Arabidopsis thaliana: one gene and its partners. The protein of the gene in region 2 purifies or fractionates together with the protein of the main gene of each other region. This does not show direct contact. Each region holds a gene or a part of one and is shown on either strand. Other genes may lie near its edges.

Region 1 (4,768 bases), on a different chromosome or scaffold from region 2:
AATTGTGAGAATATCAAGCGAGGGTTAGGTTCCGACGGGTTAAATTATCCGTCACTGCACAAGCAAGTGAATTCTACGGAAGCGAAAGTGTCGGAAGTTTTCTATAGAACAGTGACGAATGTCGGATACGGACCATCGACCTACGTGGCTAGGGTTTGGGCACCGAAGGGTTTGAGAGTTGAGGTTGTGCCTAAGGTTATGAGTTTCGAGAGGCCTAAAGAGAAGAGGAATTTTAAGGTTGTGATTGATGGAGTTTGGGATGAGACAATGAAAGGGATTGTGTCTGCTTCTGTGGAATGGGATGATTCGAGAGGACATCTTGTGAGAAGTCCAATTCTGTTGTTTCGATCGGATAACGATTACCGTTAAAAAAGACAAGACTGCTTTTTTTTAGACCCTTGTTTGTTTGTTTTTTGTTTTTTAGTGTTTGGTTATGATTTCTATTTCTAGTGTTGTTTTTTTTCTCCTTTTTAGTGTTGAAATAAATAGGAACATATACAATAATTCTCCCAAACTTTAGTCGAATTAAAACTTGAATAGTGTTGTTGGAGAAGGACCAATCTCCAACAAGTTAGTAAAAATGTCTACAAAATTTGGACATAAAAAACTCATATGAAGACAAGGTTTTTGTAACGCCGGATCCGAGAAAAGTGACTGAAATGTTTCCAACAAGTTTGGTGTACCATTTTCGAAGAAAGAAATATCAGAAAAGTGAATTGAGTAGCTTTCAATTTTATTTTGGAACCAAACAATCACAAGAAAGTGGGTCAAACAAATAACAAAAATGTCGACTCTGCTATCATAATAGCAAAGTGACATAAAAGCCACTCTGAACTCAAAGCTCACACTAACACACAACCTAGAAAGGCAATTTATATATTTGTGGCGAAGGAAAGGCCTTCCTTAGATAGCACTTCAAGGCTCTCAACAGAAGGTTGTGCTCGTGCAAGTTTAGCAATTGCATTGTTCTCTTCAGGACTTCCACCTTCTAAAAATGCTCCAACCACTTTCCGTTCTTTAATCCAGTAGCTCCCGAATTTCGGCTTTGGCGATTCCGGGTCATTGTCCCCAAACAATACGCTTTCTCCAACGTTGTCACCGTAGAATTGCCATGAGAGATCAAAGGCTCGAGAGTAAAAGTATGGAAGATAGTCATATTCCGGAATTGAGTTCCCTTCCTCAGCCGCCTTGATTGCCTACAAAATCATTATATCAATCGATTCAATTAGGATGATTTTATACAGCTCCTTCATTAAGACAGGTTGAAGAAGCATTATAATTATTACCTTTACGGCTTGTTCAGCGGATTTGCGAGCATGGTCAACGTGTTCAACGCGTCTCATTTCATTGTAGAGTTTCATTGGGAAGGTGGCTACATCACCAATGGCGTATACATCTGGAAGGCTTGTTTTGAAGAACCCATCAGTCTGCAATCAAAGAAAGATCTCATGAGTAAACAATAATAATAAGAACTATATCTCAGATACAGAAGAAAATGGAGTATGCAAGTCACAAACCTTCAAACCACCCTTCTCTTCTTCAACTTGATCTTTGAAGAGTGATATAATTGGTCTACCACCGACACCCACTATCACAATATCAGCTTCTAACGTTCTTCCGTCTTTCAATTTCACCTCAGTGACCTGCATCATTAAGCAACAGAGAGATATTGTTGAAGCAGCGGAGAGAAAAACTGCTGTTTGTCAAGTTTGAACGGTGATGCTAATTGCTAACCTCTCCATTTGAGTTGGTAGTGAAACCAGATGCAACAGTGCCTTTGACAATGTTAATTCCTTTGTTGGCATAGTAACCCTCGTAGAAGGAAGCAATGCCAGCGGTGAAAAGCCGAGGCACTTTTCAAAGACACAACAAAAAGGAAAGGTGTTAAGCAAAGGGAATACGATGAGAATTCTATGGTAGTGGTTTGGCTTGTATCAACTTACTGCACCAAGGTTCTGGATAAACCATGGTAACGTCGAGGTTGTTAGCCTTCAGAGCAGCACCGAGTTCAAGACCGATGTAACCGCCACCAACAACCACAGCCTTTCCTTTTTCCTTTGTTTCCATTGCATAAGCAAGGTAATCAGCATCTTCGAGTTCTCTCAGGTAGAATATATTCTTAGCATCTGCACCTGGGACGCCAAAATCTGACAACCTTATGACCTACACAATTTAAGAAATTCCTTAGAAGAGATGCAAAAAGAAAAAAGAGACTAAAAATGGAAACTTCCAAAGTAAGAAGTGCAAGGATAGATTGTGCTCACAGAAGAACCAGTTGCAGCTAGCAAAGTTTGGTACTTGAAGACTTGTCCAGTCCCACTGACAAGTGTCTTCGCAGCAAGATCTGCTTTGACAATCTCTGTGCCCAAAATCAGCTCAATACCTGCAGAAACGACATATGAGAATGAATGAGAGACATTGAGCTAAAAAAACGCTTAAAGCACAAAAAAAAAGGAAACTCACCTTTCTCTTTGTACCATTGAGGGAACTGTCTCTCTCCCCCAATTCCAGCAGCAACATAGAAATTCGGAAGTGTAGCTTTATCTATATACCATAAGAACAAACAAATCTAATTCAGAAACCACGCACAGACTAAACTAAATCTCCAAATGATGTAGAATGAAGTTTTTACTTTCGAGGTGGATATATCCCTTGCTAAGTGCAGGACGCTCATATGGAGGAACCTAATTAACACCAAAAAATTGCCAATACTATAAATAACAAGACAAGAATCTAGCTTAAATTTAGTTCCAAGTCATGAAAACTTACTTGTTCCCTGGAAATGATAGCAAGTTCACCAGGCTTGACACCTTGGTTGAAGAACTCTCTCGCCGCGTATCCCTGTGAATCACAACATCCCAAAACAACAATAAATTGGGAATCTAGTTCCTATCTTCCCGTAATCATAGAAATCACTAGATCTAGCGATACAATCTACTCTACTTCTCAGAGTGATAAGGATACAAATGAGCAGTAGTACAGTGTGATGATTCGTAAGCGAAGAGATTGAGGAAAAAAAACAAATCCGATGAAGAAGAAGAACAGAGAGAGACTTACGGCGGCGACACCACCTCCGACGATCACATACTTGAAGCTCTTTTCTTCTGCCATTGATGCGATCGAATCGTCTCTCTTTGATTTGTCTTTTTTCCTTTTCTTCGTCTTTTTGGATCCGAGAAATGTGATTGGGTCAGAGGTTTTTATAGGGGACTTTGTCCAGTATAGAAGGAATCTTTAAACGTGGCTTAATTTAAACCGTTAGATATCCCGCTTCGTGCACAAATCGAAATCGAACCGTTACAAGTCAGCGTCTTATATTTTTGACCCGGTCTTATTTAACACGTGACAGATCTGGTCGATGTAAAACGGACATTCAGATTTAAAATTCCGGTATTACTCGGTTTACTGATTACATTTCACTTTCAGTCTTTCATATTTGGAGAATTTTATTTACATACCAATTACCAAGAGAAAATATATGAAAGGAATCATAAATCTAGTGTCAGCAACCACTAGTCAAATTGATGAATATAGTAGAATATCTTTATGGAGTTGTTGGTTGGTTTTAATTTCTTTATTAGACCAATCTGTAGTTTTATGTATAGTTTAAGACTTTAAGTTTAATTCGATTATTTGTGTCAGTGAATCATTTCCATAATTTATTTGGATATAATGTAAAGACAGTTAAAACAAGGACCTTATCTTGATCCCTAAACCCGATAGTACAAAAAGGATATGTATTTACTACACTAATCATATGATTTTGTTTGCATAAACAAAGATGAATAACCTTAAGACCATAAATTATAGTAATTAATCAAACTACTAATAATCTAAATGATTTATGTCGTTATCTTATGTTTTAAGATCTACTACAGTAAAGAAAGAAACTACCTAGTTTTGTATAATTAGTATATTACAATAACATTAACATATGACCTAATGTGAATAAGAGTATTACATTAATAGTTTTGAGAGGAAAGATGATTTGGATTTTAGTCAAAAGAGGAGAAAAAATTGTCAAGAATGATGACCTAAATTCCAACCAGATAGAATTTCCAGAAATTGGGACCTAAATATTAATGATGTAATGTCACTGTATTAAAGACCTAAACTATTAATGATGTGGACCTTGGCGGCCTAAAACTCTTCCATGCCTACAATAATGAGAGTTTCAAATCCAATTTAATGAGAAAAGAACAGAGATAGGGCTGTACTAGAACACTAATTTACCGGACGTATCAAAAGTACCCTATTGATTTTGACATATGTTAATAAGTTAAAATGTACTTTGTATTATAATTATTCCTTATGATTTTGACATTTGTTACCAATCTTCTTGGAAGATTAGTAATTAGCACTCGAATACAAAGAGTACTATTTTTAGTTTACTGCATGCATGATTTTGACATTTGTTACTAAATCTTCTTGGAAGATGCTAGGATGACGAATACTTCTTACAGTGACAAGTGACAACCATGTAGAAGAAAGGATCTAAATGACTGACTAAATTCATCGGTTACTTTTGTTGTGGTTATAGATATTGACGGGCTTCTGTTAATGGGCCGGTCCGATCTATCAGATTTCGAAGAATACCCACGAATAGTTTTTATGAAGTACTCACTTTGTTGGATCCATATACAATATTACAAATTATTCCAAAACTCCCAAGTCAACTGACCTGTTGTTAGAAATAAATTTTCAAAAATGCGAACATAACTTTCACTTGTACCCTAGATGCAGACTTAGTGCTAAGCACAAGGGCTCA
Region 2 (5,098 bases):
TGAAGACAAAGGGGTGATTGATAGAAGAACGAGAAGAGGAAGAAGTGAAAATACGTTTCTTTTGACGCAAGGATAAGCCATTGTCTTGGCTGCGGAAAGATAATTATGCGTATACTTGAGAGTCTGGGAGGTTCTTATTGCATACTAATAAGTACATAGTTTTTGGATGACAATAGAAAGATATTATGAAATGTGACCCAAATTATTATTTGTTGACTCAATTAATGTGAGAACGAACGTATTTAGGGAGACAAAAAGCTTTCCTTAAAACTCCATCTTTATTGGATGTGGAAATCTTAAATGTCTAAATTCTATAATATTCTTCTTTAATTCTATATTATTCGCAATCCACCATTATTATTCAATTCATAAGTTAAGAAAAAAATCTTCGAATTATTATTCATTGCCATTTTTATAACAAAAGAAAATCTTACTTTGAGGAAATTCTTTTATTTGAAAAGATTTCAAAATCTTGGGTTATTAGTATAAATCATATCATACAAAATTCCCAAATCTAAAACATAAGAAAATTCTATGGATGAGTGTCCGAACTGTGTGTTTTGTTTATCTTCTTTTGAGTATTTTTTATCGTACTACTCAACTATCGTTTTTGAATTTTGACAATGGTAAGTATCTTGAGCATACATATGAAAAGAAACGAATCATGTCCCAAAATTTGGAAGCAAACTGAAATCATAAAACTGAACACAATCATACAGTGAAAAAATCATATCGAATTTGGTTATCCTCTTTCACCAAAACCACCGATCATACCTGATTAATCACATTTGGTTCATTGAGCATATCAAATTATTACTATAGTTGGGCCTAACCCGCAACTGAAAATCTGGAGAAGATTTAACGAATAAAAAAGAGTGGTAAAACCGTTAAAGTATTTTCTTTCAGCTCATCTCATATCCACCAGAAATTAAAAATCAAAAGTTTAAACCAAAGTCATCTTGATTTGGCTTGTCGTAGGCGGCTTTACTTCCTTCTCCCTCTCAATCCACATCTCCTAGTATACGCATCAACACACACAAAAGAAAAATCAAAACCCGAAGAACCAAGAAAGTCATCCACCGAAACAGAATCAACACCAAACCATGATGTACCTGAGGGCTTCTACATGTGAATGGGCTTGTCATAGGTAGCCATGGCAGCTTCCTTGATAGCCTCACTCATGGTGGGATGAGCGTGACAGACTCGAGCAATGTCTTCACTTGATGCATCATAGTTGATAGCTAGAACCGCCTCATGGATCAATTCTCCTGCGTTTGGTGACATAATGTGAACTCCCAAGATCTTGTCTGTCTCTTTATCAGCCAAAATCTTGACCATTCCCTCTGCTGTGTCTATGGCCTTGGCTCTGCTATTGGCCATGAATGGGAATTTTCCAACATTGTAGCTTACACCTTCTTTCTTCAGCTGCTCCTCGGTTTTACCAACCGACGCAACTTCAGGGTACGTGTAGACAACCCCAGGGACTTTGTCGTAATCCACATGCCCGTGTTTGCCTGCTATAAACTCAACACATGCAACACCATCTTCTTCGGCTTTGTGAGCCAGCATTGGTCCTGGAATCACATCTCCAATTGCATAAACGCCTGAAACATTTGTCGAGAATCTCTCGTTCACCAGAATTCTCCCGCCTTTGTCTGTCTCAACTCCGATTTTCTCTAGATCAAGTCCAGATGTGAACGGAGTTCTACCAGCTGAGACGAGGACCACATCAGCTTCTAGAGTGGTCTGTTCTCCACCTTCAGCAGGTTCCACTATGAGTTTAACACCATCTCCAGATGAATCTACCCCAACGACTTTAGTTTTGAGCATAAATTTCATCTTCTGCTTCTCTAGTGAGCGTTGAAACTGCTTGCGGATTTCACCATCCATTGCTGGTACGATATCCGCTGCAAACTCAACAACTGTGACCTCTGATCCTAGCCGTCCCCATACAGAACCCATCTCTAGCCCAATATAGCCAGCACCAATGACAATGAGTTTCTTTGGGATCTCTGTCAGAGACAGTGCCCCGGTTGATGAGACAATCTTCTTTTCATCGATGGTGATTCCAGGCAAAGACTTGACATCCGAGCCAGTTGCAACTATGATATGTTTGCCTTTCACAACCACGTTTTCTCCATCGATTGTGTCCACAGAGACTTCCGATGGGGACAGAAACTTACCATAGCCCTTAACATAGTTTACCTTGTTCTTCTTGAACAGACCTTCGACTCCACGGGTTAAATTCTTGACGGCTGTGTCTTTCTGCGCCAACATAGCAGGAAGATCTACCTCAACCGAAGAGACCTTAACACCATGGTTAGCAAAAACGTGCTTTGCTTCATGGTACATGTGAGAAGAGTGAAGAAGGGCCTAATACAGCAGAAACTAAACTAGATTATGTCATATATATTAATCAAATCTCAAACAGAGACTAACACAATCACAAAACAAAAAATGCGAGGATCGTGATCCAGCATATGCAACGAGAACAAAATATTTTCAGATATACAAAAATTCAAAGACAAATAGTTCCATTTCCGAGGAATCAAGCACAAACAGATCTGAAAAATAAATAAGTATCATCATCACACAATCATTTCTTAAACCTCGAAATTAATCTAACCTCAGATCGAATCTAAATGATGATCAACGAGCAAGTTCCACAGGAGACGAATGAAAATCGGAGAAAATTTCCGACGAATCAAGGTAATCGGAAAAGGAGTTTCTAAAATCACCTTTGAAGGAATACAGCCGACGTTAAGACAAGTACCACCGAGAGCGCCTCGCTTTTCGATACAGGTAGTCTTAAGACCGAGCTGTGCCGCTTTAATCGCCGCCACATAACCTCCAGGACCGCCGCCGATGATGACGACGTCGTTGTCGTCGGATCCTGACGAAGCGAAGCCGCGAGTGAGGGAGAAAGAGAATCTGAAAGCATCAGTGGGAGAATTAGAGATGTTTCTGGTGAGAAAGTACGCTTTTCTCCTAGCTAAGCTCGCCATCGCCATCGTTATTGTTGTTGTTGTTGTTGTTTTGTTCTTCTTCCGTCGAAGTTTCTGAGAGAGAGAGAGAGATGGAGAAGAGAGACTTTGGCTCTTTGAAAAGTCGAATAAAGACGAAAACAAAAAGGACCTCTTCGCTTTTTCCCTGATTTTTTTTTAATTTTCGTTAATCATAACTAAGAGGATCCAGAAGCAATAAGCATATTATTATGATGATATAATATAACCCTAATAATCCAAGCTGAGTGATCATATACATCATCATCATATGATCAACCACTACACAAACATATATCAAAATGGGACAAATATGTTAGTGATTTTTAAAACATATACAAAGTGAAGATGTAATGAAAGAGATATTAGACACAAAACTCTGATCACAATTTTCAAAGAAATGGGTAGAGAATTAGTTGATTAACTTAATCACCTGAATTCCTTAATCTTAATCAGTTTTTGTACATAAGTGCTCAATAATCCTACAGAATAAATAGATAAAAAATGGCTATAACACTTATGAACATTTTAACAACATAAAGAAGAAGTCCTTCATCTTCTCTTTTTGCCTTCCTTTTATTTCATCCAATATCAGAGAGATGTAATAATGTCATCAAATAATTTGGCCTTGGGAGGGTTGTTATCTCAAAACCCCATCTTTGTTGCTATAATATATACATTGTGCCCTCCTCAAGACCGCTAAAAAACCTTCATCAGTTAGCCTTCTAGCATTGTCTGTAACCGGGCTCGAGCTTCATCGGAAACACAGAACCGTATCCTTCTTCTCTGAGGAGCTGGGGATGATGAGAAGCAGATGACCACCACTGTAACGTTATCTGATGAGTCTAGCCTTAACGCTTCCCTTCCAAGTTCCATAGCGCACCTTCTAGGATCACCGTGTCTCCTAAGTCCTTGCCTGACGAAAGTAACAGCATACTGGCTTGTCATCACGTCCCAAACACCGTCACATCCCATAATCAAGAACTCGTCTTCCTCAGTTAGAATCATCTGTTGAATGTCCGGGTCTGAGATCAGAGGTGACAAAGATTCACCAAGGGGTGAAAACCTCTTTATTGACCAGTCTCCAAGAGCTCTTGTAACAGCAAGGTCACCATAGAGATACTCGCCTTCAAAGTACCCTCCTAAATCCTCTACTCGTCTCCGTTCTGGCTCAAATGTAGATTTGTGATCAAATGACATATCAACAGCTTTTCCTTTTCTGCAGAGCACCGCACGACAATCACCAACATTAGCGACCATTAAATGTCTTCCGATTACAAGAGCAGTCAATGCGGTTGTTCCGCACGAACTACTAACTATTCTTTCGTCCTCCATTGCAAGATCAGCAAGCCTATAAGCTTCCCGGTGAGATGTCTCCAGTTCTTTCAAGAAAAGAGAGTCCACAACAGAGGGCGATTGTCGAAAAACAGCATCTTCAAAGAACAAGCTCATAGCATTCTCTTTTATATACTGTGATGCGTCAGATCCACCATGGCCATCAAACACACCGTAGAAAGCCATAGGCACCGGAAATCTGTAAAAGGAAGACCCAAGATGATCTGAAAGGTCGTCTATGCATATGTGTTCATCTTCCATGTACTCCCGGTAGTCACCCTTATCTGCATAACTCCCTGAGCTTATATTTGGTACAAACTCAGTAACATGCTCTTCAATAGTAGTTGCAGAACAACTCTTGATCTGTTTGAAAACAAAGGTAACATAAGAGCTTGTTTAGTGTTAGTTGTTTTTCTCCTTCATAACATCACAAAACCATCACAGAATTCACAAAACAGAACAAATCCATGAGTAGAAGAGCAAGCGGAATTATCAAAGAATAAGACTTTATCTATCCAATCCAATTCAATTTCTAACTTCGAATTCAACGGAGAATCTAGAATGGTACGGAGTCCTAAAAAATTCAAAAGTAACAAAATTGAGATTACACAAAAAAGAGAAAAGAAACAAAAACCCAAACACATACCGATTCTAAAAGAGGCGTTTCTTCAGAGCTCGGAATATCAATACAAATTGAATCATGAATTCGAATTTCGGCAATCTGAAAGTTACTAGGATCTTTCGCAACGGAGAGATGAGAC
Region 3 (3,756 bases), on a different chromosome or scaffold from region 2:
GTCTGATATCCTGTTGAATTGTGAATACATGGTGACTCTGGCAAGCATCATAAAATCATCAAATGACAATCTTCTGTCTATGTCGCTTCAGCAAGAAGAATCTAATGTTGGCTTGCCTGGAGGAAACGGCCAGCTTTTAACTCTCGGGGTGGGTCTGTTGGTTACTGCATTGGCTGGAACATATGTGACAAGCCTTGCAAAGGTAAACTCATACTTGTTTACTTCTTTTCTTTCTCTGTTCTGCGTTATATTTGCCTCCCACTTCTGATATCAAACCAACTGGTTCAAAGCTTCGTAGCATATAAGCTCAGAAAAGTCCCACATTTGGTTGAAACTTAAAAGATGTAAAGTGAAATGAATCTGTCTCATGTATATCTTTTACTTGCCGTGTGTTGCAGGATGCTATAAAGGATATTGATGATGATGAGAAGAGAGATGCAAAGTAGGAAACAAGCCAGCGATTGGATAATGGTTTTGACTCTCTAGGATTTGTAAAACGCCAACAGAGTATCATGTATCAACGTTAAATGTATTGCTCCATTATTGTTAATAGTTGATATATAATTCGAATCTTTTTTGTCCTTCAAATTTAAGCACCAATAATAAGTGAGAAAATGCTTTCTAGACAAAAAAAAGGAAAATGAGCCTCAGAAAATCAAATGTACTCGATAAAGTGAGCCTCAGCACACATTACAGCCAAATTCCCACCAAGAACGTAATTGATGATAAACAAAAAAAGTTTGAGATTTTATTTGGCAAAAGAATATAGCAAAGTAAAAAAGCCTCATCTGAGAGAGACTTAACAACTCAGAATCAATCCACCATCAGATTCACTTAGGCGCAGTAGATTCCTTCAAGTAGGCGATGAGATCAGCACGGTCTTGCGGCTTCTTTAGCCCAGGGAACACCATCTTGGTACCTGGTATGTACTGCATCATATAAAAAGGCCATCAATCTCAATGTTAACAACAACAACTCATGAAACAATCATGACATGATTATACAAACCTTCTTGGGGTTGAGCAAGTAATCGTACAAGGCCTTCTCTTCCCATTCCACAGCTTTGTTCTTGTTAGCAGCAGAGTAAGAGTAACCAGCAGTTGTACCAGATTGTCTTCCAAATAGACCGTTTAGATTGGGTCCTATATTAAAACAACAAGGTCAAGTGTTGAGCAACAATGTGACGCAAATCACATTCTACAAAAGCTACGAAAACAATAGAAACCATTGAGCAACAGTGTTTTCTAATTTCACGCAATTTCAAGAAAAAATGAGAATCTGTGACGCAACTAGCTCAAATCATTGTTGTATCATTACTTAGAATTCGAGAATCAAGTTCCACAAAAATGCGAAAAGTTGTATATAAAAACCTCAGAAATTCGTCACATGCATTGAGCTGAAGATTTAAGGATAAACACGAGTAAGACATCGAGGTTATTGGATCAGATCTATGATCTAATCGAAGAATCCGTTAACCAGATCACATCAGAGATTTTTGATTAACATGAACAAATCGATTATAAAGCGATGTAAAACAAAGGCCCGATAAAAATTCAGATAAATTGCGAAAATCAACCATAGAAATAGAATTCAAGAGTGAGAGAGATCGATGAGTGAAAACCTTGTTTGTGACCGGCGCCTGCTTCGACGGTGTGACACTGAGCACACTTGGTCCTGAAGATCTTCTCACCGGCCTTGGCGTTTCCTGGTGGTGCTTCATCAAACGACGCCATTTTTTTCGCTTGAGCTACGCGATCAGGAACAACAAGAGAAAATGATTACGGAACTCTCGTTTCTCTGGAGCTTGCCGAAGTTTCCTTAGGGTTTCACTGTGGAAAAAGTGACCTCTCTTAAAAAAGCAGTATCTCCAATCTTAATGGGCCCTTAATGGGTTTAGGTGGGCTCATATTTATTTCATATATAATGCTGTTTATGCTTGTTACTCATACTTGCGAAGGACCATCCCCTAGTTCATGTAAACTTATGTTTACAGGAAATCATGCAATTAAAACTTGTTGTATATAAGATTTATGTACAAATTGATTCTCCAGTTTGATAAAATATTTCTATCAGAATTTGATTCTTTATCCTACTTCTACAAGACGTTCTTCATCTGAACTTTGCTCCTGATTGATGACAGAATCATCGTTCATCGGCTTATTATTCTCTCCATCTAACTCCGAATCTGTTTCCATCAAAGCAAACTCATGAGCCTTTTGCACGCCCAAGTCACTCAGTAAAGTCTTCACCGTTACAAGCTTGCTCCAAGAACCAGTTACTGCATACATATCTGCAAGCAACATATAGTGACCTAAGTGTTCTGGCTTTGTTTCTAGTAGTAACTTATCTGCAGCCCACTCCCCAATGTTTGTGTTCCCGTGGATGAGGCACGCTTTCAGTAGAGTAGCACACATAGCACTTGATGGCTCGTAAGGTATTGTATGGAATATATCTCTGGCTTTATCCAGGTAACCTGCTCTGCAATAAAGATCAACCATACAAGAATAGTGTTCAAGGCGAAGGCGTATACCAAACACATGCTCCATCTTCGTAAACAACCAGTGTCCTTCACGCACTAAATTGGAATGGCTGCAAGCTGATAAAACTGCAACCATAGTTACATGATCAGGTTTGATACCGGATCTGTCCATATCCTTGAACCATGCCAATGCGACTTCTCCTTTACCCAGCCTGCCATATCCATCGATCAAAGAAGTGTATGTCACTTTGTCCCTCTTCCTCATCGAATCAAATACTCGCTTTGCAGCTATGATTTCACCGGATTTTGCATACATATCGACAAGGGAGTTCCACAGGATTAAACAGTCCTTGTAGCTTTGGCGTCTCAGGATGTAGCAGTGAAACTCTTTCCCATGTTGCAGGTTTCCCACCCGAGCAAAAAGAGGGAGAATGCTAGCAAGCGTAATGTGATTTGGGTGAAATCCAGAGAGCAACATCTCCTTGAGCAGGAAAGAGGTTTCTTCTGATCTCTCGTTGTATGCAAAACCGGAAATGATAGAATTCCATGTACTCAAACTATTTGCTTCAACCTGCTGAAACACTATAAACGCGTGCCTAAGATCACTGCATCTTGAGTACATTGTGATCAACGAATTCCGAACATTGTCAATATCATGGGAAAAACTACAACTACGGATCACAAGGCAATGAAATACTTTCCCCCACTTTAACGCTCCAATGTGTGAGCATGCCTTTAAACCATTAATCATAGCTACAGAACCTATTCTTACATTGCAATTTCTCATCCCAACAACACAATTCAAAGCCCCTATGTAATTTCCTGCCTCCAAACAACCTCCAGCTATTGTGTTCCAAGTTACAATACTCGCTTCGACACCAGAGAGATACATTCTATCAAGAAGCTTAAAAGCTTCCCCTAACTTTTCTTCTGAAGTATAACAGTTGATTATTGCATTCCATGAGACAGCATCCCTTTCAGACATCCTGTCAAACAATCTCCGAGCAACATCCACTTTACCAAATCTTTTATACATAGATATCAACGCGTTGCAGACATACAAGTTACACCTGTGAGAGCTAACCTCAATAGAGCCATGAACAACTCTCCCATATGCAAAATCCAGTAATGCTGCACAAGCCTTGATAACAGACGGGTAAGTAAATTCATCCGCTCTAATTCCTTTACTCATCATTCGCTTGTAAACAGAAACAGACTCCTGAAACCTTTTGTTCCTAATATACGAACCGATGAGCACATTCCACGGCAAGGGATGC

Evidence for each region.
Region 1: the proteins of mtLPD2 (region 2) and ATMDAR2 purify together in Arabidopsis thaliana (affinity purification with mass spectrometry, with the first as the bait; one large-scale study listed by BioGRID). This does not show direct contact.
Region 3: the proteins of mtLPD2 (region 2) and CYTC-1 purify together in Arabidopsis thaliana (affinity purification with mass spectrometry, with the first as the bait; one large-scale study listed by BioGRID). This does not show direct contact.

The regions. Positions count from the first base shown.
Region 1 is NC_003076.8:921,506-926,273, forward strand, and holds ATMDAR2 (Pyridine nucleotide-disulfide oxidoreductase family protein), read right to left. Parts: upstream 3,224-4,768; 5' UTR 3,112-3,223; coding exon 3,058-3,111; intron 2,842-3,057; coding exon 2,770-2,841; intron 2,685-2,769; coding exon 2,633-2,684; intron 2,545-2,632; coding exon 2,464-2,544; intron 2,384-2,463; coding exon 2,265-2,383; intron 2,164-2,264; coding exon 1,944-2,163; intron 1,854-1,943; coding exon 1,735-1,853; intron 1,644-1,734; coding exon 1,518-1,643; intron 1,428-1,517; coding exon 1,287-1,427; intron 1,197-1,286; coding exon 873-1,196; 3' UTR 543-872; downstream 1-542. Other genes in the region: AT5G03620 (Subtilisin-like serine endopeptidase family protein), read left to right, coding at 1-369. UniProt on the Arabidopsis thaliana protein: Catalyzes the conversion of monodehydroascorbate to ascorbate, oxidizing NADH in the process.
Region 2 is NC_003074.8:5,889,156-5,894,253, forward strand, and holds mtLPD2 (lipoamide dehydrogenase 2), read right to left. Parts: upstream 3,178-5,098; 5' UTR 3,012-3,177; coding exon 2,739-3,011; coding exon of another isoform or gene 2,628-2,738; exon of another isoform or gene 2,374-2,627; coding exon 1,123-2,373; 3' UTR 1,113-1,122; intron 1,016-1,112; 3' UTR 508-1,015; downstream 1-507. Other genes in the region: AT3G17230 (plant invertase/pectin methylesterase inhibitor superfamily protein), read right to left, coding at 1-81; AT3G17250 (Protein phosphatase 2C family protein), read right to left, coding at 3,720-4,700, 4,984-5,098. UniProt on the Arabidopsis thaliana protein: Lipoamide dehydrogenase is a component of the glycine decarboxylase (GDC) or glycine cleavage system as well as of the alpha-ketoacid dehydrogenase complexes.
Region 3 is NC_003070.9:8,077,361-8,081,116, reverse strand, and holds CYTC-1 (CYTOCHROME C-1), read right to left. Parts: upstream 1,831-3,756; 5' UTR 1,734-1,830; coding exon 1,622-1,733; intron 1,606-1,621; exon of another isoform or gene 1,143-1,605; coding exon 1,009-1,142; coding exon of another isoform or gene 1,005-1,008; intron 930-1,004; coding exon 831-929; 3' UTR 543-830; downstream 1-542. Other genes in the region: AT1G22850 (SNARE associated Golgi protein family), read left to right, coding at 92-202, 399-446; AT1G22830 (Tetratricopeptide repeat (TPR)-like superfamily protein), read right to left, coding at 2,085-3,756. UniProt on the Arabidopsis thaliana protein: Electron carrier protein. The oxidized form of the cytochrome c heme group can accept an electron from the heme group of the cytochrome c1 subunit of cytochrome reductase.